7 linked regions of the Callithrix jacchus genome follow. The protein of the gene in region 5 purifies or fractionates together with the protein of the main gene of each other region. This does not show direct contact. Links are inferred from orthologs where the notes say so. Each region holds a gene or a part of one and is shown on either strand. Other genes may lie near its edges.

The links.
Region 1: the proteins of L3MBTL2 (region 5) and E2F6 purify together in Homo sapiens (affinity purification with mass spectrometry; 5 studies listed by BioGRID and IntAct, counting the BioPlex papers as one, with this or other methods). This does not show direct contact. The link is inferred for Callithrix jacchus from reciprocal best matches to the Homo sapiens genes L3MBTL2 and E2F6.
Region 2: the proteins of L3MBTL2 (region 5) and HDAC1 purify together in Homo sapiens (affinity purification with mass spectrometry; 3 studies listed by BioGRID and IntAct, counting the BioPlex papers as one, with this or other methods). This does not show direct contact. The link is inferred for Callithrix jacchus from reciprocal best matches to the Homo sapiens genes L3MBTL2 and HDAC1.
Region 3: the proteins of L3MBTL2 (region 5) and CBX3 purify together in Homo sapiens (affinity purification with mass spectrometry; 5 studies listed by BioGRID and IntAct, with this or other methods). This does not show direct contact. The link is inferred for Callithrix jacchus from reciprocal best matches to the Homo sapiens genes L3MBTL2 and CBX3.
Region 4: the proteins of L3MBTL2 (region 5) and MGA purify together in Homo sapiens (affinity purification with mass spectrometry; 3 studies listed by BioGRID and IntAct, counting the BioPlex papers as one, with this or other methods). This does not show direct contact. The link is inferred for Callithrix jacchus from reciprocal best matches to the Homo sapiens genes L3MBTL2 and MGA.
Region 6: the proteins of L3MBTL2 (region 5) and WDR5 purify together in Homo sapiens (affinity purification with mass spectrometry; 4 studies listed by BioGRID and IntAct, counting the BioPlex papers as one, with this or other methods). This does not show direct contact. The link is inferred for Callithrix jacchus from reciprocal best matches to the Homo sapiens genes L3MBTL2 and WDR5.
Region 7: the proteins of L3MBTL2 (region 5) and LIN54 purify together in Homo sapiens (affinity purification with mass spectrometry; 3 studies listed by BioGRID and IntAct, counting the BioPlex papers as one, with this or other methods). This does not show direct contact. The link is inferred for Callithrix jacchus from reciprocal best matches to the Homo sapiens genes L3MBTL2 and LIN54.

What each region holds. Positions count from the first base shown.
Region 1 is NC_133515.1:103,581,233-103,585,486, reverse strand, and holds the start of E2F6 (transcription factor E2F6), read right to left. Parts: upstream 2,801-4,254; 5' UTR 2,522-2,800; coding exon 2,414-2,521; intron 1-2,413. UniProt on the Homo sapiens protein: Inhibitor of E2F-dependent transcription. Binds DNA cooperatively with DP proteins through the E2 recognition site, 5'-TTTC[CG]CGC-3'. Has a preference for the 5'-TTTCCCGC-3' E2F recognition site.
Region 2 is NC_133508.1:68,904,167-68,908,146, forward strand, and holds the start of HDAC1 (histone deacetylase 1), read left to right. Parts: upstream 1-1,180; 5' UTR 1,181-1,246; coding exon 1,247-1,295; intron 1,296-3,980. UniProt on the Homo sapiens protein: Histone deacetylase that catalyzes the deacetylation of lysine residues on the N-terminal part of the core histones (H2A, H2B, H3 and H4).
Region 3 is NC_133512.1:31,898,891-31,902,986, reverse strand, and holds the start of CBX3 (chromobox protein homolog 3), read left to right. Parts: upstream 1-1,296; 5' UTR 1,297-1,429; intron 1,430-1,613; exon of another isoform or gene 1,614-1,699; intron 1,700-1,763; exon of another isoform or gene 1,764-2,212; intron 2,213-2,766; 5' UTR 2,767-2,794; coding exon 2,795-2,818; intron 2,819-4,096. Other genes in the region: HNRNPA2B1 (heterogeneous nuclear ribonucleoproteins A2/B1), read right to left, coding at 438-443.
Region 4 is NC_133509.1:44,984,519-44,988,472, reverse strand, and holds the start of MGA (MAX gene-associated protein), read left to right. Parts: upstream 1-1,154; 5' UTR 1,155-1,233; intron 1,234-1,442; exon of another isoform or gene 1,443-1,523; intron 1,524-1,985; exon of another isoform or gene 1,986-2,089; intron 2,090-3,062; exon of another isoform or gene 3,063-3,125; intron 3,126-3,954. UniProt on the Homo sapiens protein: Functions as a dual-specificity transcription factor, regulating the expression of both MAX-network and T-box family target genes. Functions as a repressor or an activator.
Region 5 is NC_133502.1:192,009,236-192,013,317, forward strand, and holds the start of L3MBTL2 (lethal(3)malignant brain tumor-like protein 2), read left to right. Parts: upstream 1-1,282; 5' UTR 1,283-1,348; coding exon 1,349-1,372; intron 1,373-4,082. UniProt on the Homo sapiens protein: Putative Polycomb group (PcG) protein. PcG proteins maintain the transcriptionally repressive state of genes, probably via a modification of chromatin, rendering it heritably changed in its expressibility.
Region 6 is NC_133502.1:182,702,722-182,706,751, forward strand, and holds the start of WDR5 (WD repeat-containing protein 5), read left to right. Parts: upstream 1-1,230; 5' UTR 1,231-1,356; intron 1,357-1,695; 5' UTR 1,696-1,814; exon of another isoform or gene 1,815-2,012; intron 2,013-4,030.
Region 7 is NC_133504.1:114,780,655-114,784,898, forward strand, and holds the start of LIN54 (protein lin-54 homolog), read left to right. Parts: upstream 1-1,444; 5' UTR 1,445-1,586; intron 1,587-2,149; exon of another isoform or gene 2,150-2,353; intron 2,354-3,384; exon of another isoform or gene 3,385-3,437; intron 3,438-3,528; exon of another isoform or gene 3,529-3,862; intron 3,863-4,244. UniProt on the Homo sapiens protein: Component of the DREAM complex, a multiprotein complex that can both act as a transcription activator or repressor depending on the context. In G0 phase, the complex binds to more than 800 promoters and is required for repression of E2F target genes.

The sequences.
Region 1 (4,254 bases), on a different chromosome or scaffold from region 5:
CAGTGAGCTGAGTTTTTATCAAATTCTCATATTTTAAGACCACCAATACAGATGGTACCAATACACAGTTTGACTCTCAAATAACACACGTTTTAAATGTGTGGGTCCACTTATATGTCAATTTTCTTCACCCCCTACCACCCCTTATTTAGCAAAACCAATTCCTCCTCTTACTCTTCATCAGCCTACTCAATATGACGACAAGATAAAGACCTTTACGATGATCTAATTCCCCTCAATAAAGGCTATCTCTTATTTATGATTTTCTTAATAACATTTTCTTTTCTTTAGCTACTTTATTATAAGAATACAGTATCTAATACAGGTAAACATAAAAGAAGTGTTAATCAACTGTTTACATTATCAGTAAGGCTTCCAGGATACAGTAAACGTTTGAGGGAGTCAAAATTATATTCAGATTTTGAATTTCATGGGATTTGGTGCCCCAATCCCTGAGTCAAGGATCAAATGTAGATAGTAACAGAAGTCATGGGAGGAGTGAATGAACTCCCCTAAGAAGAATGTGTAGAGATGGTAGAAGAGAACCCGAATAACATCAACATATGGCCAGCTGCGGTGGGAAGAATGCTTGAGCCCAGGAGTTCAAGACCAGCCTGGGCCTTGTAGGGAGGCCTCCATCTCTAAAAATAAAAACTAAAAATTAGCCAGGTGTGGTGGCATGTGCCTATGGTCCCAGCTACTTGGGAGGCAGAGGCAGGAGGATCACTTTGGGAGGTCGAAGCTTCAGTAAGCCATAATCATGGCACTGCGCTCCAGCCAGGGTGACAGAGTGAGAGTCTGTCCCGGAGAAACAAACAAACAAAATCAACATGAAGGAATGGGAAGAGGATGAGGACAAGGAGAGGCCAGAGAAGCAGATGGAGTATCAATGTCAAGGAAACTCAAGGGAGAGTTGTGTCAAAACTACAACAGCTGATGGAAATGACAAGATTGTTCACAACCCAACAGCTGATGGAACTGACAAAATTGTCAGTTAGCAAGGTCTTCTTAGAGGTGTGCTTAGGGTAGGGGTCCCCAGGAGTGGGTTAGGTGGTAATAAGGGACGATCAAGTGTAACAGTGAGTGTAAATAACTTTTTCAAGTTTAGCTGTGAAGGGGAAGAGAGACAGTAGATGGGAGGGAATATGGGAGTGATCAATTAAGGGAGTGATCTTTTAAGATGGGGATGGATTTACAATGCAGTTTTAGTAGTGAAGAATGTATCATTTGGTTGAAACTTGGAGGTTCAACCCAAGTTTCTCCACTTACTATCTAGCCACAGGCAAGCCAGCATTACATACATCTCCAAGTCTGTTTTGGCAACCGTAAAACAAGAATAATCATCTTTTATTATAAAACACTGCTGCGAGAAATTAGGCAATGATCACAAACTATTTGGCATGGGGACCAGAATTAATGGCTTGGGAAATGTTTAATTACTAGTAGTTATAGGAAGAAAGCAGCAAAGAAATGAAAACTATGGGGAGAGGCTGGGGGCAGTGGCTCACGCCTGTAATCCCAGCACTTTGGGAGGCCGAGGCGGGTGGATCACCTGAGGTAGGAGTTCGAGACCAGCCTGGCCAACATGGTGAAACCCTATCCCTACTAAAAATACAAAAATTTGCCAGGTGTGGTGGCGCATGTCTATGATCCCAGCTACTTGGGAGGCTGAGGCAGGAGAATCGCTTGAACCTGGAAGGCGGAGGTTGCAGTGAGCTGAGATTGCGCCATTGCACTTCAGCCTGGGCAACAACAGTAAAACTCCATCTCGGGGGTGAAAGAAAACCCAGAAAGAAAGAAAGAAAAAGGATAAGAAAAAAAAAAAGAAAGAAAAAGAAAATACGAGAGAAATGGAAAAGGATGCATTTGTTAAGGGCCCTGAAAACTGCAGAGAGTAAAACTGCTGGTCGAGAACAAGAGTATAAAAAATCAGCTTTGGCAGGAAGGGGAGCCAAATCTCCTAAACATTTTCTCTGTCAAACAGGTGGGGAGATAATGTGCTGAACGGGAGCTGTGACGTGGGAAATATGAAGCGTGGACAAGGTTTTAAACGGCTGCAGTAGAGTAAAAGGATGGGAGAGGAGGCAGAAGAGAACAAATGATAGGTTGCAGAGGTACAGCTAGAGTTGGAAGAAGGAGAAAAACATGGATTTTCTAATGCAAAGTTGAGCAATTTTCTCCAACAGTGCCCTCAAGTTCCGACGTAAAAGGGAAGAAGACTGACACCACGTCTGCGAGCAGGCGCTGAAACCAGAAAGGCGGGAGAGCGCAGTTCGCAGCACGTGACGGGCAGCGCCTGGTCCAGGGGGAGCAAACGACCGAGACGACGACCCGAGGGGTTGGCGGCAGCGCGGGGAGGAGGGGGCCGGATCTGGGAGACCCCCGCCCGCGCCCGTCCCGTCCCGGCGCTTACCAGCAGGCCCTCCACGTTGATAGGGTCTCGGCACCGACGGCGAACTGTCTCCTCCGCCGGGTCCAGTAGGAGACTGGGCAACTTCCTCGCTGGCCGCTGCTGACTCATGTTGCCCAGCCGGGCGTCCCGCTCCCCTCGCACCCCGAGAGCTCTCCCGCCCTCTCGCGCCTAGCTCGAGCGCCGCCCCCCAAGCGCCGATTTCCAAGGGCCCAGCACTTAACGGGTCTGCGGCCTGCTCCGAGGCGCCGCCCGGCTAGGCCGTCCCGCCTGCGGGAAAACGCGCCACGGCTTCACGTGCCCTGGAGCTCCGGCCGCAGACGAGACAGGAGGAGGGAAACCCGCGCCTCTCAGGTCGCCTGGACCGCCATCTTCCCGCATGCGCACTGTACCGCCCCCCGCGCATGCCCTCCGCGGCCGGAACGCTCCCACGCAGCGATCCTCTCCTGGCTGCCGGAGCCTTGAAAACCCGGACCGCGGTGTTCACGGAGAGGACGGCAAAGGAAAAAGAAGAGGTGGAGCTGGATTTTAGAGGAAGGGGACGGGGGTGAGAGAATAGAAAGCAGCAGCCGGGGAAAACGCAGCGCCCGCCTGGAATTCTCGACGCTGATAACTGAAAGTTCTGAGCTGCACAGATGTTCATTTATTCTCTTTTTTAAAAAATAATTTTTTTTTGTCTCCCAGGCTGAAGTGTAGTGGTGTGGTCACAGCTCACTGCAGCCTCGAATCCCCAGGCTCAAGCAATCCTCCCACCTCAGCCTCCAGAGTAGCTGGGACTACAGGCGCGCTCCACTGCACCCAGCTAATCTTTCTTTCTCTCTCTCTTTCTTTCTTTCTTTCTTTCTCTTTCTTTCTTTCTTTCTTTCTTTTTCTTTCTTTCTTTCTTTCTTTTTCTTTCTTTCCTTTCTTCCCTTCCCTTCCTTCCCCTTCCTTCCCCTTCCTTCCTGCCTGCCTCTCTTTCTTTTCTTTTCTTTTGAGGTGGAGTTTTGCTTTCGTCACCCAGGCTGGAGTGCAATGGTGTGAGCTCATCTCAGTGCAACTTCCGCCTCCCGGTTCAAGCGATTCTCCTGCCTCAGCCTCCCAAGTAGCTGGGATTACAGGCATGCGCCACCACACCCGGCTAATTTTGTAGTTTTAGTAGAGATGGAGTTTCTCCATGTTGGTCAGGCTGGTCTCAAACTCCTGACCTCAGGTGATCCTCCTGCCTCTGCCTCCCAAAGTGCTGGGATTACAGGCATAAGCCACTGCGCCTGGCTAATTTTTAATTTTAATTTTAGTAGAGAAAAGGTCTCAGTATATGCCCCGGCTGGTCTTGAACTCTGGGGCTCAAGCCATCTTCCCACCTTGGTCTCCCAAGCGCTGGGATTTTAGGCATGAGCCACCACACCCAGGCTTCATTTATTCATGGCACAGGCTGGTCAGTGTTGATGCTTAGTAAATGTGGGTAACCAAACCTCTGTGGAATTGTTTTACTTCTCTCCTCCCTCCCTCCCTTCCTCTCTCCCTCCCTCCCTCCCTTCCTTCCTCCTTTCCTCCTGTTTGATGAATGAGTTATTGTTGACTTATTGTGTCAGGTAATGGGGTGGGTACAGGAGATATTTACTCATTTGAATATGCCATGGGTTCAACCTCCAATTTCAGTGGGGACAGATAAGTAAACAGAGCATGTTAATTAAGCTGGAGCTAGAAGGTGTGTTTTCAAATCTTGGCTGCTTCTACTTATAAACTAGAAGACCTTATTAGTCAGTTACTTAATCTGTCTGTGCCTCAGTCTCCTTGTCTGGAAAAGGCAAATAATGACAATACTTACTTGATAAGGTTGTTGTGAGGATTAAATGGATTAA
Region 2 (3,980 bases), on a different chromosome or scaffold from region 5:
TTTAGCTTTCAATGATGATCAGTTGGTAATTGATGATCTGGTGGAGTGGTTCTCAATAGGAGAGTTGGGGTCAATTTTACACTCCCTTATACCTGGCTAATATTCCCCCAACCCAATGGTAAAGCTATTGCACAGTACTTGGCAATGTCTGGAGACAATTTTGGTTGTCACAGCCTGGGGGGAGGGTGCTACTGGCATCTAGTGGGTAGAGGCCAGGGATGCCGGTAGACTTCCTATAATGCACAGAACAGCGTCCTATAACAACGAATTACCCGGCTCAAAATGTCATTAGTTTCCAGGCTGAGAAACCTGCCCTCCTATCGCGGGATAATCCCATTTTCTCCTGTCTAAAGAGACTCCTACTTAGTCATCCTGGGTGACTGAATCACGGAGGTAGGTTTTGGAGTCAGAAAGGCTGGGTTCTGTCACTTTTTTACAGAGCCTCTGGTGCAAAGAAGGCATTCAAAAAATCCTCAACAATTGAAAAATTGAATTTAATTACCTTGTGTAACTTGGAGTAATTCACAGAAGTCCGAACTTCTTTTTCCTAACCTGTAAAATGGAAGTAAAAACCCTTGACCGAGAGCTGTTTTGAGGAATAACTGAAATAACAGTTAAAGCTGTCGCACAGTACTTGGCTCACAGCAGCCCCTCGAAAAAACATTAGTTTTCTTTCCCTTTCTTGTCAGTTTCTCCCTCTCCAAACCCGCGTGTTGCTTTTCTTTTCAATTTTTAATTATTTGTCTGTAGCCCTCCTTTGCGGTGACAAACTCGCTTTCTAACCCAGGTTCAGCCCGTTTATTGGCGGAGTGACCTTGTGCAAGTCACTTTTCCCCTGTAGGCCTCGGTTTATTCTCCGTAAAATCAGAAAGTTGGCCTCCGATCTCCAAGCACGTTTCCCACGACGAAGTGGGCCTAAGTTTACCAAGCTGCTTTCCTCCCCCGGGAGTGATGGTACGGTCCCCGGGCGGCTCCCCACCCATCTGTCGCAGACCTTGGTACAGGCCCAGGGGGCCTTTAGCCGCTTCTCCAGGCTGCCCTTGCCCCCTGCCGAGTTCCGGGCCCGTGTCTGCGCAAGCTGATTGGCTGGAGCGGTGCCCGGGCTGCGCGTCTATAGGTGAGCCCAGGAGGGGACGGGCGGGGCGGGCCGGAGACCCGCCCCCTCCCCCCTGGGTCGGACGCTGAGCGGAGCCGCGGGCGGGAGGGCTGACGGACCGACTGACGGGAGGGACGGGAGGCGAGCAAGATGGCGCAGACGCAGGGCACCCGGAGGAAAGTCTGTTACTACTACGACGGTGAGCACCGTCCTCGCGGCGGGGGCGGGGCCGGGCCGGGCCGGACCCGGGACCTGGAGGCTGAGGCTGGAGCGCCGAGGGGAGGCTGCGGGAGGCTGAGGCGCTGGGGAGAGGCTCGGAGAGGAGGCTGCGAGGGGGAAGTCGAGGCTGAGGGAGGAGGCTGCGAGAAAAGAAGATCGAGGCTGAGACCAAGAGGGGATCGCGTGGGGGAAGCCTGAGATAATCTTGGTGGAGAGATTCTGAGGAAGTCCGATAGGGAGAGTTTGAGTGGGACTCCTAGAGGGGAGGCTGGATCTGATGGAGACGGCTGCGAGGATAAATTTTCCAGCCGAGAACCCAAAGCTCTTCCCTGCCCCGTCCCTTCCTCATCTTTTCTGAGGGAAGAGTCGTGCACGACTGGTCGCCCGCCTCCCCTCCCCCAGCCTCTGAGCTGGGCCTGCGGTTGCTGCTGTGACGTTGGGGCGCCTGGGGTTGCAAGGAGAAGGATGCAACCTGTTAGAACACACTTCTCACTTGATCTCTCAAACTGGTTACTGTGTTCGAGAAAGTGTTGAGGGGCTGGGGCCGTGGGGATGATCGGGTCACCCTTCCCAACGACCGAAGTTCTCTCCTTGTCAGAGCTCAGAGTGTTAGGGGAACACAGATTAGAGGCACTGAACTCCACCTGTGGAGTCAGCGAAGGAGGGGACATTTCAGGACCATCTCAGTTAGGTCCTGAAAAACAGGAGTTCTTAGCCAGGCACGGGAAAGGCAAACATAACAGCAAGTTCAGAGACAAGAAAGAGGACAACACCTTTGAAAAACAATCATTTGACCGGGCACGGTGGCTCACGCCTGTAATCCCAGCACTTTGGGAGGCCAAGGCGAGTGGATCACTTGAGGTCAAGAATTTGAGACCAGCCTGGCCAACATGACAAAACCCTGCCTCTGCAAAAAATATAAAAAGTAGCCAGGCGTGGTGGCACGTGCCTATAATCCCAACTGCTTGGGAGGCTGAGGCAAGAGAATTGCTTGAACTCAGGAGGTGGAGGTTGCAGTGAGATGAGATCAGGCCACTGGACTTCAGCCTGGGCGACAGAGGGAGGCTGTCTCAAAAAAAAAAAAAAAAAAAAAAAAGAGGGAGACTCTTGTCTCAAAGAAAGAAAGAGGAAGAAAGACAGGCTTTGTAACAGTATGGCTGAGGCATAGATTTGGGGGCCTAGTGTAGAAGGTGGGGAGCAGGGACGAGGGAAGGGTTGCAAATAATGAGGCTGCAGAAATAAATAGGGACCAGCCAGGCATGGTGGTGTGTGCCTGTAATCCCAGCTACTCTGGAGCCTGAGGCAGGAGAATCCCTTAGAACCTGGGAGGCAGAGGTTGCAGTGAGCTGAGATCACGCCATTGCACTTCAGCCTAGGTGACAAGAGTGAAACTGTCGCAAAAAAAAAAAAAAAAAAGAGTTGTAAATAGGGACCAGACCATGAAGGGCTGGGCATGCTGTCCCAAGGAAGTTGGACTTTATTGAGGGCACTTGTGAATGATTGAAGTTTTATGCAGGTTAGTGACATCATCAGGTTCATACCTTAGAAATTAAAGTCATGGGGGCCGGGTGCTCTGGCTCACTCCTTTAATCCCAGTACTTTGGGAGGCCGAGGCAGGCAGATCACTTGAGGCCAGGAGTTCAAGACCAGCCTGACCAACATAGTGAGACCCCGTCTCCACTAAAAATACAAAAATTAGGCTTGGTGAGGTGGCTCACACCTGTAATCCCAGCACTTTGGGAGGCTGAGGCAGGTGGATCATGGGTGACTAACATGTCGAGACCCCATCTCTACTAAAAATACAAAAATTAGCTGGGCATGGTGGCACGTGCCTGTAATCTCAGCTACTCAGGAGGCTGAGGCAGGAGAATCGCTTGAACCTGGGAGGCAAAGGTTGTAGTGAGCCAATATCACGCCACTGCACTCCAGCCTGGGCGACAGAGCGAGACTCTGTCTCAAAAAAACAAAAACAAACAAAAAAAAGAAGTTCATGACTGTAGGGGTAAGGGAGAAGACATGGATCCCAAGTTCCTGGTGTGGGCAATTTTTTTTTTTTTTTTCCGAGATGGAATCTAGCTTCGTCACCCAGGTGAGAGTACAGTAGCATGATCTTGGCTCACTGCAACTGCAACCTCCACCTCTCGGATTCAAGGGATTCTCCTGCTTCAGCCTCCTGAGTTGCTGGAATTACAGGTGTGTACCACCATGCCTGGCTAATTTTTATATTTTTATTATAGATGGGGTTTCACCATATTGGCCAGGCTGGTCTTAAACTCCTGACCTCCAGTGGTCTGCCTGCCTCAGCCTCCCAAAGTGCTAGGATTACAGGCATGAGCCACAGTGCCCAGCATCTGGTGTTGGCAATTTGATAGTGAGTGTTTAGAGGTTTGGAGAATGCCATGTCAGTTGATAACTTTTTTTTTCTTTTAATTTCTAGAGACAGGGTCTCAATATATTACCCAGGCTGGTCTTGAACTCCTGGGCCTGGCCTCAAGCAATCCTGCCACCTCGGCCTCCCAAAGTGCTGGGATTACAGGCCTAAGCCATTGTTTTTTGTTTTTTTTAGAAATAGCTATTGATAACTGTTAAGATGTTTAGGGGACATCCAAATAGAGGCATCCAGTAGGCAGTTTAGAAGATAGAAATTTTGGTTGGGCGCGGTGGC
Region 3 (4,096 bases), on a different chromosome or scaffold from region 5:
AAAATGGCGGCCGCCAAATCCGGTTCCCGGGAGAGAGGGGAAGGGGAAGCTCCGCAGCCTCGCTCACGAGGACCCGCTGCCCGCCGAAACGCTCGCCGCCGAAACGCCGGAGCCCCCGAAGCAGCGTGCTTTAAAAAGGGAATAAGAATTCCCGCCTCCGCGCCCCACTTTCACTCCAGCGGGGCTGCGTCCGCCATGTGAAAGTTTCCCATCCCCCACCCCCAGTGAAGGGAAATGGCGCCGGAGGCTGAGGGTGGGGAAGCTGTTTGTACGCTCAGGCCTCTGTCAAGACCCTGTTCAAAAACCTAGAACCCACTGCTACTGAAGCGGTCCAATTTCCTGCCGCTCTCCCACCGAGGCGGCTGGCCGACTTCCACTGAGGCGCCAACGGCCTCGCCATGCCCTTTCCAATAACTCATTGATTTCAAACCCGTTACCTCCATCGCGGACTCAGTCGCTTCAGCCCGATTTCCCGCAGCCGAGCGAGATGAGAGAGATCTCCGCGGACGAACACGAACCGGACTCGTCCTGGCGCTGTAGTGAGAACTGCCGCTGCTCGAGAAACAACACCGCTAGGGGAACCTCCGCTCGGGACCCGGCGCTGCTGCTACTGCCGCTAGAGCCGCTGCCGCCGCTTTTCTAGAACCTTCCCCCCCGACTAACGCGTCTTCCTCTACGTCAGGCCGTTGCGTAAACGCCCTAACCGCCGCCAATGGCGGGAAGGCTCTGCGCCCCGCCTTACGCCAAATGCGTAGCCCTCCCCACCTCGCGGCTAGCGACAGTGCCAGACGTTACTTCCGTAAATGCGCTCAGTGAATTGAGGAAGGCTCGAGGCCTGCCTCCTATTACCTCTCAGAATAGGGTCCCGCCCCCCCCGCCCCCGCCTTGGCGCAGGGCAGGTGAGAAACGGTCGCGCAGTTTGAAATTAACGCCGACGGGAGGAGCTTAAACCGCAGCCCGGAGGTCCAGCCCCCTCAACACGGGAGGTGGTCTCTGCAGCTACGCCTTTGATACCTTCCTTCCTTCTCCCGCCATAAAAATCTTCGTAGCTTTCCCTTTTCGTTTTCCGTGCCCCCATTCGGCCCCTTCCGGAAACACCCGAATCAACTTATAGTCAAATTACTATTCACGCCGCACTGACCTAACCCTGGCCCGCGCCTATGGGGCTGACCTCTGGCGTACAGGAGTCCCTGCCAAAAGGGGTCCCAAAGCGAGTTGTTTTTAGGCTCCCAACTCCCCCTCCCCCAGCGTCTGGAGGATTCCACCCCCCACCCGCCCAGGGGCGAGGAAGTAGGCGGAGTCCGGTTTTGGCGCCAGCCGTAGAGGCTGCGGGGCAGAAAAGCCACCGCCGAGAGACTCAGGTCGCTGTCCTCGCCCCTCCTTCCCTCTCCCTCCCCTCGGGGGACCACCGGGAGCCACGCTGCAAACCGTAAGTGCCGCGGTCGTCGCAGCCGCCCTCCCCACCTTGGGCCCCAGTTCCCAGGGGGCGCGGCGCACGGCCCCTCCCCTCCCGCCGGGCGCGCGCCCGCTGCCCCGCCTTTCGTGGCCGCCCGGCGTAGGCGGTGCCGCCCCTCCCCACCGCAGCCCCTTGCGCAGCTCCCGGCTCCCTCCCCACTTGGATGTGGCTGGAGCTGCTGGCGCGCAGGGCCGAAGACGCCGCAGACCCGCGACCCGGAGCACCTCGGAGGCGGTGAAGTCGGTGGTTTTCCTTTTGTCTAGCCCTCGTTCAGTGGCGGTGTTTTAGATACCACACACGCTCCGGGGGCCCGGTTCCTTGCTCCCCTTCCCTTCGTTCCCCGCCAGACCCCGCACCTGGAGCTGCGGGAAGGAGCGGAAGGTCGGGCGGTGGCCTCGCGGCTGGCGTGGCGCGGGTTAGCGCCTGCAGTTAATTGGGGGACTGTTCTGCCCTCGAGGGAGCAGAGAGTTGTGGCAACCGTCACTCTTTCGAGACAAAGCGCATTTCTCCTCCCCTCCCCCACCAGCATTCTGGCGGAGGGGCCCCCCCTCCCCTGGCCGCCACGCGGGGCTGGGCCGAGACTTAGGCCTCCGGGCGGGCGGCGCGCGGCCCGCTGTCCCAAGGGTGCGGCGGCCGCCCCGTTACGTGGCCGCCGCGGGGGTTGCGCGGGCGGTGTGGCGCAGTGCCCTTGAGCCCCTGCAACACGGCCTTTGTTTCTCCCCGCGGATGAGCTGACCACGAGGCCCGTGCTCCCGGGTGGGGGCGGGCGCCCTCGCTTAGGCCTCGGGACGCCGGGGTTGGGGGGCGGGGAGTGGGGGCGCGGGTGTATGGAAGGTGATTGCTTCTTCAAGGTGTCACGAAACGGGGACTGAAGCATCTTAAGTTTTTTTCCTTTAGTTATTTACCGATTGGAAAGAGGGAGGGTTTCTGAGCAGAAACCAAGTTAGGATTGCAGAGCAGAGAGAAGATTCACGGTGGTTTACCGTTGTGAGTTGTTGGTAATTACAGTCCTGTAAAAATGGGACATGGACTTTATTATAAATGGGACTTCGATTGGAAAAGGCACTTGTCCCCTATTTTAAGCCATGTAAGCTGTCTTAGGTACCAAGATCCCCAGTAAAGTCTTTTAGGGTCATTTGGTTAGAAGACATACTGAGGCAATTTAAGTAAGAGCGCAAATCTACTCTAGAATTGGTATCCACGTTTGAAATGTGCGCTCCCTACTTGGGGGTTGGAATCCAAACAAAACTTATATTTAGCTACTCTTTTTTGTGTCGTGCAAACATTTTAACTGTCGTGCATTTTTCTAGTAATAGCTCTTCAAGTCTGCAATAAAAAATGGCCTCCAATAAAACTACATTGGTAAGTTAATTAAAACCTAAAATGTGTAAGGATTTAACTAAAGCCTTTTTCCCAAAAGAAGTGTAACTTTGCATCTCTGTGGCTGAGAAATTTACATCCACATATTTCCCAGCTCTCCCAGCATAATTATAGGGGAAAATTAAGAGCAGAATGAAATCATTACATGGAGATACTGACTTGGCTTAATAGTGTCTTCACTAGTTTAAAAAAGGCTAATCTTTGAACAGTGCAATGTGGATTTTGCTGACGATTTTTATCTTCAAATAGAAATGCACACATTTTTGCAACGTGCAAAAATGTTGCATAAAATGATATACCCCTTTTTGGTTGACATAATTCTTAAATCCACTGAATTGTACAGAAGTATTTTCATTAAAGCCCAATTTAAAGAACCAGGTACCCTGTGCACCTAGATTGGAGGAAAAGTCAATCTTTCAAATTCCTTTGGTCACTTTATCTTGTTTTAACTTACTCTAACTTATAGATGAATCATAAATTTAATTCATTGCAGTGTTGTGTTATTTGAACACAAAATGATCGAAATCGCAAATATGACCCGGGAGGGAGAAAAAACTAGATCTTCTGTATCTTTTGACCAATATTTTCCTCTCCAGCAGTTTAAGATATACGTATATTCAGCCATGTCAAGTTTCAAGTTTTTTAAAACGCTGGAATAGTCACATAAAAATCACGAAATTCATAATTCTAGTTCTCACATTTAATTCTAACATTGCATTAATAATCATAAGCGTGTAAAGGTGAGTGTGTTAATGTCTCCTAAGCAAAGCAAAGCATTTGTTTTTGGTCTGTATATGCTCTCTCTGGGTTTCACACTAAAACGGGCAGGTTGGTGATTTTTAATTCGTGCCATCATTAGGATTGTACATTAAGTCAGATACCCTGGAAAACAGATTGAGATAAGTAATGTGAAACCTGTGGGGTGAGTCTGTGGTGCAAATGATTCTCATGTATTTTATGTAAAGATGAGAACCATCAATGGCGCCTCGGGATTGAGTTGCCCTTCAGATTGTATAATCGGTAAACCAAAGTGTAGGTAATTGCCTAAAGGTACTTGTATTCTCCTTCAAGTACTAGATGGGAAAGGAATTAGCTGTCTGTGAGGCTTTAAGGCTGAATATAGATACAGAAAGCAAACTAATAGGTGTTCCCATTAAAATTAAGTTCTTTTTGCACACAGTTGATAGCCTTTGGAATCTGTTATTTATTGGTATTTAAATATTTTGGGAAGGGTCACAAGTTGACCACTTGAAAATATTT
Region 4 (3,954 bases), on a different chromosome or scaffold from region 5:
TTAGAAGATGGTAATATTAGTATAGCACTTTTCTGAGTTGTTATAAAAATTATATATTATGAAGAATATTGGAATGTTTTATAAACTTCAAGTGTAACATCATATGGTTATAATTTTTTTTCCTTTTCCTATACTGTGCTGGGAATTAATTTTTTAAAAATTACGTATGATCACTTAATACCCTTTCTTTTGATTTTCTAGTCAGGGAATAATTTTCTGATAATTAGGCTTATGAAGTACCTTGAAACTAGAAAAGGGGTGCCCCAAACTATATTTTGGCTTCATGACCACATTACAAATTAATACATTTAATTTTTAATCTATAAATAAGAGCTCTTGCGCTTGACCATCGCTAGTCAAATTCATTCTTCAAGCTTGATCATCTCTTTGAGAATTGATGAATCCTTCCGAAATTGGCAAAGCTATAGAATAGAGTTCAAAGCAGAAAAGGTGTTAAGTGGGGGTTTTATGGGAGTAAACATTAGGTTTTGGCCTGAAGGGCAGTTTGTGAATATGCTACAAAATTAATTGGTTCTGATGTAGGACCACCTTTTCTGAGTTAGGAGATGGTATTTTTTTTTTCGTTTCCAATATACCATAGTTCGTATGAGGTGGAACCAGTAACTGTGATATAGACATGTCCCTGCCCCCTTTAAAATACCTCCTGTTTTTCCCACTCCTCCTGTCCCCAACAGTAGCAATAAGTTTAGCAAGAAAGGTCTTATCTTCTATCCCAAGGAAAATTCTAAGTACCATTTCCACTCCCAAGTAGGGCTTTTGGTTAAGCTGTATTTAAATTAGCATTCTTTTTCACTGGCCAGGAAAGGCTGGCAGTTCATTTGCAGGCAAATACCCTCGCTTTTTTTTTTTTTTTTTTTTTTTTTTTAATCTTCACAAAGTCACTCAGCAGGCGCATACTAAACGCTTGCTCCTTGGAGAAAGATTAAGCGGCTTCCCCAAGACCACACAGATCAAACAAGTGGGGGGAGGAGGGGCTGAAAGTGACTGGTATACCTCGCCACACTACCATAATTGCCCAAACCGTCTCATTCCGGGCTTTCAAGGGGACACGGAAGGAACGCCCGGGAGGTGAGCGCCAGGAGATCGGGAGAGGTGGCTTTCCCGGCATGCTCTGCAGCATACCGAGGGGCGCCAGGCGTATCCCGGCGTGCATCGGGGAGCGCCCAAGGGCGATGGTTCCCGGCTCCTGGAGAGGCGCGCGAAGTTAAGCCGGTAGGTGCGAGCTTCCTTAGCTTTGAGTCTCTGGTTTCTCGTTTCCTCTTTATGGGTTTAACCCCAGAACGGCAGAAAAGGAGGCCCTCTAACTACCCTCCCTTTCCGCGTGCGAACGACTCCTTGCCGCTTCGAGCTTGGTGCCAGGTGATTAGCGGGTAGGGGCGGGCCTGCGACCAGCACGTGACCCGAGATGGAAGCCAATGACTAGCCGGGTGGTCCAGCAGCGCGAGGATTCCGGGACCCGCGAGCGGAGCGGCGCGTGGGCCGGTTGCGGTCGGCCCTGGCAGGTACGCGCAGGCGCCTTGCTTGCCACGCGCTCCGCCCGTCTCCACGCGCCTGGTGGCGTGTTCTTGGCGCGAGGTGTTAAAGAGTCTGGGTGTTTTTGTGAGTTGGGGGGAAGGAGAAGGGGGGGGGAAGCTCATGCGTCACGTGGACGCCACAGCCAATCTGAGGCCGAGGCGCACCCACAGCTTTCTCCGGCGCCCCGGGGTGCGACGTGTTCAGTGAGGTTCGACTGGGCCCTGACGGTCTGAGCGCTCTTTCGAAGCGCGTGTGCCGCCTGTAAAATCTGGCCGCGGCTTTTCGTGGCGTCCTGCTCCGCGGTGAGCACAGACGACAAGTTCTCGGCAAAATGGCTGCTGGAAAGAGTCTCGGAGCAGGGGGAGCGCTGGGGCCGCGTGAAGGTCACATGATGAGGTTGGCAGCGCGTGCTGCTGGCGCGGGGAAGGGGGAGGGTGGGGGGGCGTGGCGGGTCACGTGCCTTCGACTGCGCCGGCCCGTGGTTTTCCAGCGTCTTTGCTGCGGTCGGATGGCCTGCTTTTACTCCTCCCATCTCGAAGCGTGGCAAGCGTCGGTGAGAAGTTGCGTGGTGTATTGGGATGAGCCAAGATCTGGGAATTCGGAGGCCTGGAGTCCAGGCCTTTAGCTAGTTTTGTAATTAGCAAGTCATGTTGCCATTCGTGGCCTCCATTTTCTCATTTATAGTTTAGCTCTGTAGAGATCACCTTTTAAGGTCCCTCATACGGCCTCTGACACCTAACTTCAATTTCATGTAGATAAAAAAAATTTAACAAATTCTTACAAATTATAATGAGACAGATCCCCGCCCCCCCCAAAAAAAAATCCGCAGCCACTCCCCTCTCAGTCGTTACAGTAATGTGGGAAACCTGGTGGAGGTAATTTGTTGTAATATTCTGGGCATGTCTGTCCATCTTTATCAATCCCATTTATCCTTTATAGCTGCTCACGAGCTCATTTCAAAAATACTGTCTTTTTTTTTTTTTTTTTTTTTTTTTTTTTTTGAGACGGAGTTTCGCTCTTGTTACCCAGGCTGGAGTGCAATGGCGCAATCTTGGCTCACCGCAACCTCCGCCTCCTGGGTTCAGGCAATTCTCCTGCCTCAACCTCCCGAGCAGCTGGGATTACAGGCACGCACCACCGTGCCCAGCTAATTTTTTGTAATTTTAGTAGAGACGGGGTTTCACCATGTTGACCAAGATGGTCTCGATCTGTTGACCTCGTGATCCACCCGCCTCGGCCTCCCAAGTGCTGGGATTACAGGCTTGAGCCACCACGCCCGGCCAAAAAAATACTGTCTTTTAAACATCTAATCCCTGTGTGTTTTCTGGGAGGAAATCAAAAGGTAACTCCTATTGTCATAACTGTGGAGATGAGGAAATAGTATTTAAAAGGGAAGTACTGATGCCCCATAATGCTGACTAGAAGGACCTAGAAGTTTCTTTTCCACTTGGTGGGCCCATCTTTGTAAAAGTTTAGAGACCTGGTACCCACCAACCTTTAGTATTTTTCTTCGTCTCTGCTTTCAGCTCCAGCTCTTCATTTCACCAAAGAAGGGTCAAGTCATTGGTGAAGAAAAACAAGCATAAATTGTATGTTTTCCATATCACTGCTTATGTTTTATGATGTCTTTGATGTATCTTAAAAAGAGGCTTCAAATGGGAACACATCTGGAAAATATTGAGCAGTCATTGTAACTGTCACTTTTGAATAATTATAGTATCTTTCTGGCATAGTGTTCTAAGTATTTTATACTGTATTTAATTCATTTAGTTCTCATAACAAACCTACAAGGTAAGTACTCCATTTTACCACTGAGGAATATAGCAACAGAGAAATAAGGCTGGCCATTTTACATAATTCCAACCAGATTTCCTTTTGAAAAGTTGACAAAATGATTCTAAAATTTATTTGAAAAAGTAAACCTAGAAAGTAAGAAAATTTTTGGAAGAGAAGAATGAGGAAAGGATTTGTGCTAGAGAATATACAAATAAATCTATGATAATCAAAATACAATAGCAACTGGAATAGACAGTAGTAAAACTGAATAGTCTAGAAATACATAAGGCTAGTTAATGTTATAAAGGTGATATTTCTTCTTTTTTTTTCTTCTTTCTGAGACAGAGTCTCACTCTGTTGCCCAGGGTGTAGTGCAGTGGCATGATCTCGGCTCACTGCAACCTCCATCTCCCGGTTTTAAGCAATTCTCCTGCCTCAGCCTCAAGAGTAGATGGGATTACAGGAGTGGGCCACCACGCCTGGCTAATTTTTGTATTTTTAGTAGAGACAAGGTTTCACCATGTTGGCCAGGCTGGTCTCGAACTCCTGACCTCAAGAGATCCTCCCACCTCAGCCTCCCAGAGTGCCAGGATTACAGGTGTGAGCCACTGTAGCCCAGCTATAAAGGTAGTGTTTCATATC
Region 5 (4,082 bases):
CTTGGAAAGTGTCTAAACCTGAAGAGCCACCAAGTCCCTCTTCTTTCAAACAGTGATAGGATATGTAAGGGTTTGAGAAGATGTTTGCAAACTCCACAACAGCGCCCAGAACTCAAGGTGTGTAAGGAGGTGTGGGAAACCCTAATGGGATGAGGCAGAGAGCCTCAGATTCGAGGTTTTTTACCCAGGAGAGAGTGGTGAAGGACGAATGTTGCAAGATTTTGAGTAGGCTAGACATTTATAGCATTGAGCATAAGAATATTCCAGTTTCAGCTGGGCACAGTGGCTCACAACTGGAATCCCAGCACTTTGGGAGGCTGAGGCAGGTGGATCACAAGGTCAAGAGTTCAAGACCAGCCTGGCCAAGATGATGAAACCCTGTTTCTACTAAAAAATACAAAAATTAGTCGGGCGTGGTGGCAGACACCTGTAATCCCAGCTACTTGGGAGGCTGAGGCAGATAATTACTTGAACCTGAGAGGCGGAGGTTACAGTGAGTTGAGATCCTGCCACTGCACTCCAGCCAGGGCATCACAGCAAGCCTCCATCTCAAAATAAAAATAATACAAATGATTTAAGAAAAGAAAAGAAAAAGAATATTACAGTTTCTGGCTGCGCGCGGTGGCTAATGTCTGTAATCCCAGCATTTTGAGAGGCCGAGGTGGGCAGATCACCTGAGGTCAGGAGTTTGAGATCAGCCTGGCTAACTTGGAGAAACCCGGTCTCTACTAAAAACACAAAATTAGCCAGGAGTAGTGGCACGCGCCTGTAATCCCAGCTACTTGGGAGGCTGAGGCAGGAGAATCACTTGAACCTGGGAGGCGGAGATTGCAGTGAGCCGAGTTTGCGCCACTGCACTCCGCCTGGACAAAGGAGCTAGACTTTGTCTCGCTGGAAATGAATTCCTCTGCTATGCATCCCAGCAAAAGGGCACCTTAAATGTCTAACCCGGGAAAGTACAAGGTTATTCCTGGAATCTGGAACAGTGACTATTGTAGGTGCGCAATAACCGTTTAGTGAAGAATAAAGAATTGAAGTCAAGTGGTTGGCCTACTTGGAACAGTTGGGGTGAGGCGCGCCAGGGCCGGCGCCCCTGATTTCCACGTCGCTACTGGTAACGTCCCACCCTGCACATCCAGGGCGAACTACAATTCCCACAACAGCCCGCGGCTTCCCCGCCCACAGGGAGGGAAGGGCGTGAGCAGGCACGGAACCGGCTTTTTCTCCTTCCTGCAGCGTGATTGGCCCACGGCTCAGGGAGGCTGCCAATGACTGCTCTCACGGAGAGCGACGAGGCCAATATGGCTTCCTGCACTTGGTGACGCTGGGAGAAACTGAATTAGGTCTCATGGAGAAGCCCCCGCGTAATGAGGTGAGAGGGAGAGGACTTAGCGTGACTGGGAAAGGGAACCCCGAGAGCCTCGCTCCGTGGATCCTTCTTGAGGCCTTTTAGCGACGCCTGGAGGGTGGAGGGTGGAAGGATGGATAAGCTGAGGTAGGTAAACTGAGCCAGGGCCAGAGGCGATTGGCTTTACTTTTTGTTCCTTTACTGCTGGGGCCAACGTTAGGCAAGGTGTTCAGGGAGGAACAGGTGTCCCTAGTCTGGGGGAAGGGGAACTAGGTTTAGGATCTGAGAGCTCCTGAATCTTCTTTTTTTTTTTTTTCGAGACGGAGTTTCGCTCTTGTTACGCATACTGGAGTGTAATGGCGCAATCTCGGCTCACCGCAACCTCCGCCTCCCGGGTTCAAGCAATTCTCCTGCCTCAGCCTCCCACGTAGCTGGAACTACAGGCGCGCGCCACCATACCCAGCTAATTTTTGTATTTTTAGTAGAGACGGGGTTTCACCATGTTGACCCGGGTGGTCTCGATCTCTCGACCTCGTGATCCACCCGCCTCGGCCTCCCAAAGTGCTGGGATTATAGGCGTGAGCCACCGCGCCCGGCCAGCTCCTGAATCTTCTTTGTCATCTTTGTCTCGTGGCCGTGTTCTTTAGGGCTTGTGAGGCCTGTTACATGAGGTAGGAAGTGAAGGGAGATTAAAGTTGAGTGAACACTCCTTGTCTGTAACGTTCACATGCATTATCTTCTAGTACACCCACGGCAATCCTGTATTACTCTTACGTCTTTGTCGTTCAAGCCACTGAGGCTTAGAGGTGGTGCGACGCCACAGGAAGTTACCCCAGGTGGAAAGTGAAGGAGGTTGGCATTAAGTCGGCCCACCTCCAAAACTTTGCCCGTTATGCAGTCCCACTGTACTGCAATCTGCACCCCACTCTTTTTTTTTTTTTTTTTTTTTGAGACAGAGTCTCGCTTTGTCTCAAAGCGAGAGTATGGTGGCGCGATATCTGCTCACTGCAACCTTCATCTCCTGGGTTCAAGCAATTCTCCTCTCTCCACCTCCCGAGTAGCTGACATTACAGGGATGTGCCACCACATCTGGCTAATTTTTGTATTTTTAGTAGAGACTAAGTTTCACCATGTTGGTCAGACTGGTCTCAAACTCCTGACCTCAGGTGATCTGCCTACCTTGGCCTCCCAAAGTGCTGGGATTACAGGTGTGAGCCACAGCACCACCTCATCCATTAATCATTTGGCTTCTGGGGACCTTATATTTTTAAGAGACTGGGTGTCCCTATGTTGCCCTGGTTGGAGTGCAGTGGCTACTTACAGGCATGACAACACATTGCAGCCTCAAACTCTTGAGCTCAAGCAATCTTCACACCTCACCCTCCCAGGTGGTCTCTGCCAACCTGCCTGACAAGGGTACCTATATTTGAATTGTTTCCTTTCTAGCATATTTGCATGTGTAGTTGCAAATATAAAGTGGAATAGCTCAAACATTCTGCAAGGGTAAAGGAGAATAATAATGTGGAGAAGAATAGCAGGTCACACTTTTAAAGCTGTTATTAGGCCGGGTGCGGTGGCTCAAGCGTGTAATCCCAGCACTTTGGGAGGCTGAGGCCGGTGGATCACGAGGTCAAGAGATCGAGACCATCCTGGTCAACATTGTGAAACCCCGTCTCTACTAAAAATACAAAAAATTAGCTGGGCATGGTGGTGCGTGCCTGTAATCCCAGCTACTCAGGAGGCTGAGGCAGGAGAATTGCTTGAACCCAGGAGGCGGAGGTTGGGGTGAGCCGAGATAGCGCCATTGCACTCCAGCCTGGGTAACAAGAGCGAAACTCCGTCTCTAAAAAAACAAACAAACAAAAAAGCTGTTATTGACTGCTGGAAATAGAATTAGTCTTTACATATCTTATCTCAGTCTTCATAACGATTCTCTAAAGAAAGATTATTTCATAACCATGAAGAAACTGAGGGCAGCAAGATAAAAAATGCACAAAATCACACAGTAAGAGTTAGAGCCAGCATTCAGTCCCAGGCAAACCAGAGTCTATGCTTTCAACTAGCAATTATTGGCAATCTTTATTGACCACTTACTATATGCAAGTGACTTTTTTTTTTTCTTTGAGACAGAGTCTTGCTCTGTTACCAAGCTGGAGTGCAGTGGCTCGATCTTGACTCACTGCAGTCTCTGCCTCCCGAGTTCAAGCCATTCTCCTGCCTCAGCCTCCCAAGTAGCTGGGATTACAGGCTACCACACCCAGCTAATTTTTGTATTTTTAGTAGAGATGGGGTTTCGCCATATTGGCCAGGATGGTCTCCATCTCTTGACCTTGTGATGCGCCTGCCTCGGCCTCCCAAAGTACTGGGATTACAGGCATGAGCCATGCGCCCAGCCACAAGTGACTATTCTGAGTGCTTTGCCAGTATTGTCTCTTACTTCTCCCCCAAATCTTTTTGAGACAGGGTTGCTGTTTGTTACCGAGGCTGGAGTGCAGTGGTACAATCATAGCTCACTGCAGCCTTGAGCTCCTTGGCTCAAGAGATCCTCCCACCCCACCTCAGCCTCCCTAATCACCACATCCAGCTAATTTTTTGCATTTTTTGTGGAGACAAAGGTCTCCCTATGTTGCCCAGTCTGGTCTTGAACTCCCAGGCTCAAGCAGTCCTCCTGTCTTGGCCTCCCAAAGTGCTGGGTTTATAGGGGCTGGGTTAAAGGGGCATGAGCCACCATGGC
Region 6 (4,030 bases), about 9.3 Mb from region 5:
GAGCTTGGTTTGCTAACCTGTGACAGTCACTGTTCCATGCTCCAGGGCACCTGGCCCAAGGGACCAGGCCTTTTGGGCACACAGATCCACACGCAGCCCTGCCGGACCACACAGGAACCTTCCCTTCTGTGTCCTTCCTGGGAAGGGGATTCCAGACCATCTGCCAGTCTTTCGGTTCAGCCTTTCTGACAAGCGCACACCTCACTCTCCCCGGACATTTTTATTTCAAATGCTCTGTCCCTTTGTTTGCACGGGTTCCTGTGTCATATTCTGTGTTCCCATTTTAAATTGGAGAATAAGTGACTGCATGTTATTCTTCCCACAGGCCTAGTTGAGCGGGTAGGGAGGCCGTACCTACCTCCAAGGCTCTAAGAAGTGAAGCAGGAGGCGAGAATGCACAGTAGTCAGGGCTAGACGACCGGGCCTCACCTTCTAGGCCCCGGGGTCCTCCTCTGGGGACCACCCCCTTGTACCCGTAGGTGAAAATACCCGCCCAGGAGGAAAGGGTTGGCCCCAGAGAGCCCTGTGCAAAGTGAGTTTGCGCACTGCGGAGCGGGCGCGGGTGTCTCCAACGCGGCTCTCCCAGTCCGCGGGGCTGGGGAGGAGCAGGTGCGCGCACCGCTGGCTCTGTGCCAGCAGAGGCGGGAAGAGCAGCCGGCCCCGCGGGGAGGCGCAGCCCGGGCTTCCGAGCTCAGTGAACGCGCAGGCTCTGGGGCTTCTAAATGGGCCGGAGTCGTCCTGCCCGCCCAGGGTAGGCGGCCACATGGGGGGCACTGCGCCCGGGCGCGGCCCCAAGTGCTTTCCAAACGCCCACTGCCGCTGTCATCCGTACCGGCGATGATCCAGAAGGGGCCTGGTCGCCCGGGGAGGTGCCCCGGTCCGCCTCGATTCCGGGGACAACGCCAGGCGACGCCACCTGCGCGGGTCCCGGAGGGCCTCTGGTCCCAGTGTGCAGGGCGTACTCAGTCTTGGAAACGCGAGAGCACACTAGCACTTTCCTGTATGTATTATTATACTTCCATTTTTAGGAAGTGCATTAGAAGGGCCTGCGGCAGCTGAATTCGGGATTAAAGCTTTAAAGCGGGAAGCGTGCTCCCGGCGCGGTTCCTTTAAAGCGTTGGGCCTGCCCGAGGCATTCTGGCCGCAGCCGCGGCCCGTAGCGCTTCTCCGAGAGGCGGGCTTTGTGCGCTCGCCCCGCCTTTGGACAACGCCCCCTCCCCTCGCGCACGCGCACTGCGCCCCCGCCGCCTGGCGCCCGCCGGAGCTGCCGCCTTGTCGCGCAGAGTCCGCGCTCCCGCCCAGGAGGCGGCCGACGCGACGTCCCGAGCGCCCGGCCCCGCCGCCGCGGCCCGACAGGTAAGTGGGCAGCCGCCCGGCCCGGGGGGCACGAGGCGGGGAGTGGGACGGCGCCAGAAGCCCTCACATCGTCCCCGGCCGCCGCACGTGTTCCTTGCCGGGCCTCCGGCCAGGCCCAGCCCCCGGCGCTACCCCCACTGCGGCGGCCCCGCCCGGGACCCCCTCACGGGCTCCTCGGTGGACGGCCGCGCGCGCAGGCCCCTGCACCCCGCCCGCCCCCACCGGCGCTCCCACCTCCGATTCCCTGGCGGGCCGCTGACAAGGCCCGAGCGCCGGTACTGGGGCCTCTCCCTCGGCGGCGCGCCCGGCCTCACATCGCTCCTCTTCCTCCATCTCCAGGGAAGGACCAGACCCACGAGCCAGTCAGTCCCCGGACGTGGCGCTTCCCTTCGTAGAAACGCCCCAGCCCGCTCCCGCCGCTCACTCCAACCGGAGGCAGCCAGGCTGCACCTCGCTAGGTGGGGTCCTGGGGTTCGGGTCCTCGCTCCTGAACGGAGGGTCCCCCGCTCCTCCTCGCGCGGGGCCGCAGACCAGTCCTGGCCGGTCTGCGAGAGCCATCTTGAGCGGTTACGTTCCCGGACTAGACGGAGGTTGGGCTGTTACTTCCCGCTAACGACCCTCCCTGCTGTCTCGCAGGCAAGTTTCCAGCTACCCAGGTCTGTTTTCCTATCTCCCAAATGCTTACGCTGTGACCTGGGCAGGTGCGGTGCTAGCCGGTGGGGAAGACAGATGGGTAAGCGAAGGACCCAGGCCGGGAGCCCGTCCAGGACCTGAGATGCGCAGCGCCGGGTTCCCACCGCTGTCGGGCCGGCCACCTGGCTGCTGTTTGGGATGCACATTCATTCCGGTCTGCACGCAGCATGCTCTCTTGGACAGCATGCCGCAGGCCGATTCCTGGGCTCCACCTTGGGGACTGAGGGACTCCGGAATCCGCCAGTGGCATCCAGCCCAGGAGAGCATACTGAGCTTTAGTTGCTGGGCTTCAGGTGGTCAGGCTTACCTGGATGAAAAGCAGCAGCTGCTAGGAGGAGCCAGGCCGCACCTGGGCGGGGGCGGTCAACTCCTCATCACCGTGCATGGAACCTTCTTGGCCCCCACTTTTTCAGCATCAAGTCGCCAACCTTCCTGTTCCCTTAAAGTGATTCTTCACAGAAACTCCTGGGTGTTTATGAAAATGCCAAGCTTTGGGCTGGGTGTGGTGGCTCACACCTGTAATCCAGCACTTGGGGAGGCTGAGGCAGGCAGATTGCTGAGCTCAGGACTTCGAGATCAGCCTGGGCAACATGGCAAAACCCGTCTTTACTAAAAATGCAAAAAATTAGCCGGGTATGGTGGTGCTCGCCTGTAATCCCAGCTTCTCTGGAGGCTGAGCATGAAAATCGCTTGAACTCCGGAGGCGGAGGTTGTAATGAGCCAAGATCTTGCCACTGCACTCCAGCCTCGACCCAAAAAAAAAAAAAAAAAAGAAAATTTCAAGCCTAGACCCCACCACTGAGGTAGAAATTGGTGGGTGTGTAGTGTCAAGAAACTCTATTCTTAAAAGGCATGTTAAAGTTAAGGGTTTTTTTTGTTTCTTTGTTTCTTTTACTTGTTAATGTTTTTAGAGCCCAAAGGGTGGGGTGGGTGGGCCTGAGCTGGGAGGGGTTGAGCTCCTTTTGTAAGACCGCCAGTCTGCTGCGCCTTGCCTGAGGGTGTTTCAGGCATCTGGACTCACCTAGGTGAGTAGACAGCTGACTGGAGCTGCTCGGCCCTCTGAGCTGCCGGTTCTGCCTTCTGTTCCTCTGGTGTTTCACTTGGGTAGGGAACGGCCACACTTCACTCAGCTCTTGCCCTGACTTGGCTGTCTCCGGCTAGGACCTTTGCAGTGGACTTTGCAGCTTTTTGCTTGGATTTCCGTAGCTCCTCCCTCTCCTTGTACTTGTCCAGCGTGCCAGGGAGAAGGCAGCAGTTGGGTTAAATTGCCATGGCCAGGTTGCACTTATGACAAGCACCATGTAGCCGGCATTTACCGAGGACTGGCTTTGTACTGGCACTTTGTACTCTGGGCAGCTCTACAGGGCCTGCCCCTCCCCTTCCCCACTCGTGTGTGTGTGTGTGTGTGTGTGTGTGTGTGTGTGTATGTGTGTGTGTGAGAGTGTGTGATGCTCAGGCTTTAGATGCATCGTGATCCATCCTTTCGAAGGGAATCTTTGCTGCAGGCGAAATGGATCTGTGGCCACACCTGTTTTCTGGAAAGTGGGTGTTGTAGTTTCTCTGCCTTCCTCTTGCATCAAGACTTTGAGACTCTTTTTGATGCCTTCCGTTTCACCTTAATGTTACAAGCAGCCTTGCAAGATTTCGGTTTCAAGCTGCAAACTAGAACGTACAGTGTGTAAACTCGTTAGATGGATGGTGGTGCTAGCTTCCAGAATTCTGATGGCCAGTGGTATTTGCAAGCATGTCTCAGTGGCTTGCTTTTTTAGTGATGCTGTGCCTCCTTTCAGAATAACCTGTTGTGCTTTTATGAGACGTATTCAAGTAATGGATCTATTCTCGAGATGGAGGAAACTAGCTGCTTACTAGAGAGATTTTGGGTAAATTTTATTGTCAAGCTGAAACAGTCTTTTTTCATTCCCTTGCATGTTGGTCTTGCTCGTAGAATATCCCTGGTGTACTTGAGGCTGCTTTTCCAGAA
Region 7 (4,244 bases), on a different chromosome or scaffold from region 5:
CTAAATACTCAATTTTGCCTTCATAAAAAAATCCTAGTGAGAAAGGAAATTTCTGTTCTCTCTTTTGGGTACTGTTTGCCTTGGGTTTTAGTATGAGAGTTATGCTGCCTTGTGGAATAAACTGGGAACATTTCTCCCTTTTTTGGTCTCTCTAAAATCCAGCCAGTTTTGGGTACTTCATCTCACTCTCTTCTTCCAGAGGTGCCTCAACAGCACCATCAATCATTTTACAGTGAGGATCTCTCACACTAGCTCTCAAGGTTCCTCATAAAGTGGGCTCACAATGTTGATCTCCAACAAAGCCTTTATACCATTCAACTTTATCACATTCCTTGCACATGTCACAGACCTTCCCATTTTCAAGGCTTTGCTAATTTCATGACATTTGCCTTGTTAAATCCTATTAGAGTTTGGGCTGGTACGGGGTGTTGATGATTATGGCACAAGGGAACTAACATTTCAGGCAGAGACTGTGTACTTGCTTAACACCCTTCATTTTATTTAACCATCAGAATCCTGGGAAGTTTCGTTATTTTTATTTGCTGAATAGGAAAATAAACGTTATACACTAATAAACGGAGGTGCCACTAAATACTAGTACTGCATGATTCCAAAGTGATTGCTGCTTCCACTACACTGTTTCGCCTCCTCCATTGTGTTCCCTAGGTGGTCTCTCATGCTGACCTTACGTCCTCCGCGCTCCATTAGCAAATTATAACTGTACCACACCTTACATTTACACTATTGTATTTTCTATTGTTTCATCTATGTAGTTCTTATCTCACATACAGCAGTTAATAATAATCTCTCAGAATAATCTTTTTTTCTCAGAATAATCTCTCAGTATCTGTTCATCCGACTCCGTATTTGGATATCATATAAATCGCGGGAAAAAAATAAAAGGTGATTAAATACAAATAATTTTGACTGTGTTAGTTTTAGCTGTGTGTTGTAAGAAAAGCAAAAGGTCTCTATCAAAATAAGTTTAACTTTCAATGATCTCCCTGAGGATTTTTAGCGACCCTTGCAAAATTAGTGCCTAAAAAACACAGTGACTTGCCATTTGTGACTACTGGTCACCCCCTCACTCAAGCACATCAAAGAGCAGGATACGCTGGAAATCGCACCTACAGTCCCGACTCCCTAACAAGGAAAGCTAGACGAAGGGACGGTCTCTCCCACCCGCAGCGCGATGCGGGTCCTCCCCCCAAGCTTCAGTCCGATGGAACATTCCGTGCGATCGCTTTGACTGGGCGCCACTCGGAGTCACGTGGAGCCGCAGCGCCCAGGCGGAGCCTGGAGGAATGACGCGCGCTCAGGTTGCCAAGGGGCGGGGCGAGGCGCCGCGGAAGAGGCGGAGCGAAGGAAGCCGGCCGTGGGGCGGGGTGCGGAGCGCAGGGGCGGGCAGAGAGCGGCGCGCGGGCGGGGGAGGGCCCGGCGTATTATGGGATGCGGCGGTGGAATGGCGCTGGGCGCGTGATTTTGAACAAACCCTGGTCTGTGTCTCGGAGGCGCCGCCGCCGCCGCGGCTGCTGGGAGCCCAGGGAGCGCCGCGCGACCAGGAGGCGGCGGCGCCGCCGGCTTTGGTGAGTGTCAGCCCCTGGGATGGGGTCTTCTGGGCGGGCGGGCGGGAAGGGGGAACTGGCCCCCGCTGCCAGTGGCTGCGCGGGCGGAGAGCGCAGGACCGCTCCCTCCGGGATCCCCGGCCGGTGGGCCTCGGCAGGGAGCGGGAACCCTCAGGCGGGGTCCGCCGCGCCCCTTCCCTGGGCCGCGGGGGGCGGAGGATCCTCTGGGCTCGGCCTCTTCCCGCCGGCTCCCGGGAGGGTGGCTGTCACTCGGCAGGGCCAGCGCTCGGCCGGCCGCCTGCTCGGCGGTCTGGAGGAAGGGCTCCCGCGGCTGTTGACACGCACGCTGCGCTACCCAAGAAGCCGGCCGTGGCGGCCCTGGGTTTCTGAGAACCGGTTTTGCTGCTGTGTCATTTTGTGCCAGTCCCTCCTCTCCCTGCTGCCCGCCGCCGCGTTCTTCCTACGCCCCTTTGTACGGGCTCTCGTTCGTGCGTGTCCGTTTTCCTCGCGAAGCCCACCAGCCAAATGTCATAATGTTCCCGATGTGCACGGGGGAAGGGAGCGGGCCGGGACTTAGCTTGGCCAACAACGGTAAACAACCAAGCAGAGTGCGGATGGACTGGGCAGTCAGTGGGGAAATAAAGTTTAAAGATGAAGATATTGAGAACAGTTTACACGCTCAGCATCTGGCAGTCTGCATATAAAAACAGTCATTGGGGTGGGTGGTAGACAGCATTTGCTAAAGGCTGAATCTACCCACTTTTATCTGGAGTTGTCATTGAAACAAGGTAGGGAAATGAAATGACTTTTTCAACTTCAACCTTAATCTTCTTACACTAACTTGGATAGTAGAGTGGCCCTGTTCACAACCTTGAAATTAATTTTGCCCATTTCAGATAGATCTTTTAGAGCTTATGTTGCAGTTAAATGGTAAAGAATTCAGCTTTTGAATGGTTAACGCTTTCTGAAATGGCAGCCAGTTTCCTTTTTTTTTTTTTAACACTGGTCTCATTACAAGCCTTGCAGCTTATATTTTATTTTTTAGATGATTAAGAATTAACTTGTGTTCTCTTTTGTTTACTCATTCAGCTGACTGATGACAAGAGCTGGTAACTCTTACCTACCTAGTAACTCTAGGGTCGTCTTGTTCTGAAGCAAGCTGTTTATTTTCACTGTATTGAGCAAATATATCAGCAGCAGATTTTTTTTTTTAATTTGATTACTTAGATCCTAAAAACATTTGGCAAAGAATTTTAACTTCGAGTTATATTTTCAATATTTTAAAAATTCATCATTGATGAATGTTTCTACAAGTAGTTAAGTACATTTTAAATCTAGTTGCGCTTTGACGTCTTAAACCGATGACAGATTGGAAGTCGCTGTGTTCAGGGTCAGAAATGACCAGATAAAATTGTTGGAGAGGAAGATAGCTCAAAACTTTATTTGTAAAAATTAGGTGTTTTGATGACCTCATCTGCATGAGGATTACTGTCTGTAATTGACAAAGGTGTCAAAGATCAAACATGCATATGGAAATAGCTCATCCTGTCAAAGTAGTTCTCTGGGTGGGGTAAAATGTCAAAGTTGGTGAATAACACCAAGGGTCTTCACAATAATGTTTTTAGTGCCTGGGATAGCCACAGTGAATGAAGCGCATTCCACCATCTCTTTCAAGTTGCTGCTCTGAAAATGAAAGAGTTTGGGTTCTTTATTGTCCTTGTGCCACCTTCTGCATGGCTTTTGCTCTTCCAAACAAAAATATGCCGGACCTGGGACCCCGCAGGTGGTGCGACTTCCTTTGGCGTCCCCGCCTGGGGGTGAAAGGTCTCGGCGTAGCCCGTGTGCACTTGCTCGGCCCGTGTGCATTTGAAGGTTGGCGGGGCGGCGGGAGGCTTCCCCGGATATGTGGGTGTGCGCCTCCCGGGAGGGGCGCGGGGAGGGGAGGAGGAGGAAGGGGGAGGTTACTGGTGGCGGCGGCTGCGGCCCGGGCTCCGGCTGTCGGGGAAGCTGCTGAGCTGTGATGGTGATGACGAGGTGAAAATGGCGGATCTTTCGAAATACAATCCCGGCCCCTGACATACCAGAGGCGGCGGCGACGGCGACGTCGCCACCCCAGCTCCCTCCTCGGCTCCCGGGTACCCTGGAGCGCTCCAGTTTGGACAAACTGAGAAAGGAAGCGGCTGGCCAGAGCTATCCTGCACGGGCAAAACAAGCCCCGCCGGGGCTCGGGATTGCCCAGGACCTTCTGGAGCCCCCACCTTGGAGCCCGAGGGAGGAGAAAGCGGCAGCCGCTGGAGGTAGAGGAGGAGGGGGTACCCGAGGGCTTCTCTGTATGGAGATCTTTTTATATGCGGGGATGGGGTTGGGTGGGGAAAGAATTGTGCGGTGGATCAAGGAATGACTTGTCCGGAGTGCGGAGAAGCAGTAGCCTCGTCATGACATCAACATTATTCTTTGAGTGTTAAGAGGGCTCCAGTTTGCTCTTATACCTAAGGCTGCTGCTGAGGCCTAGAGGATCTGCTAGCACTTATCATGATTCCCTGATACAATTTTTCAAACATCCACTCTGGCGGGTGTTGCTTTGATGGCGTTCAGCAGTTCTTGGGGTTGTATGTTTCTTTAAGGAGGCAGAGCGTTGGCATTTTATTCTGCATTTAAGGTTTGTGTTTTAGATCCTAG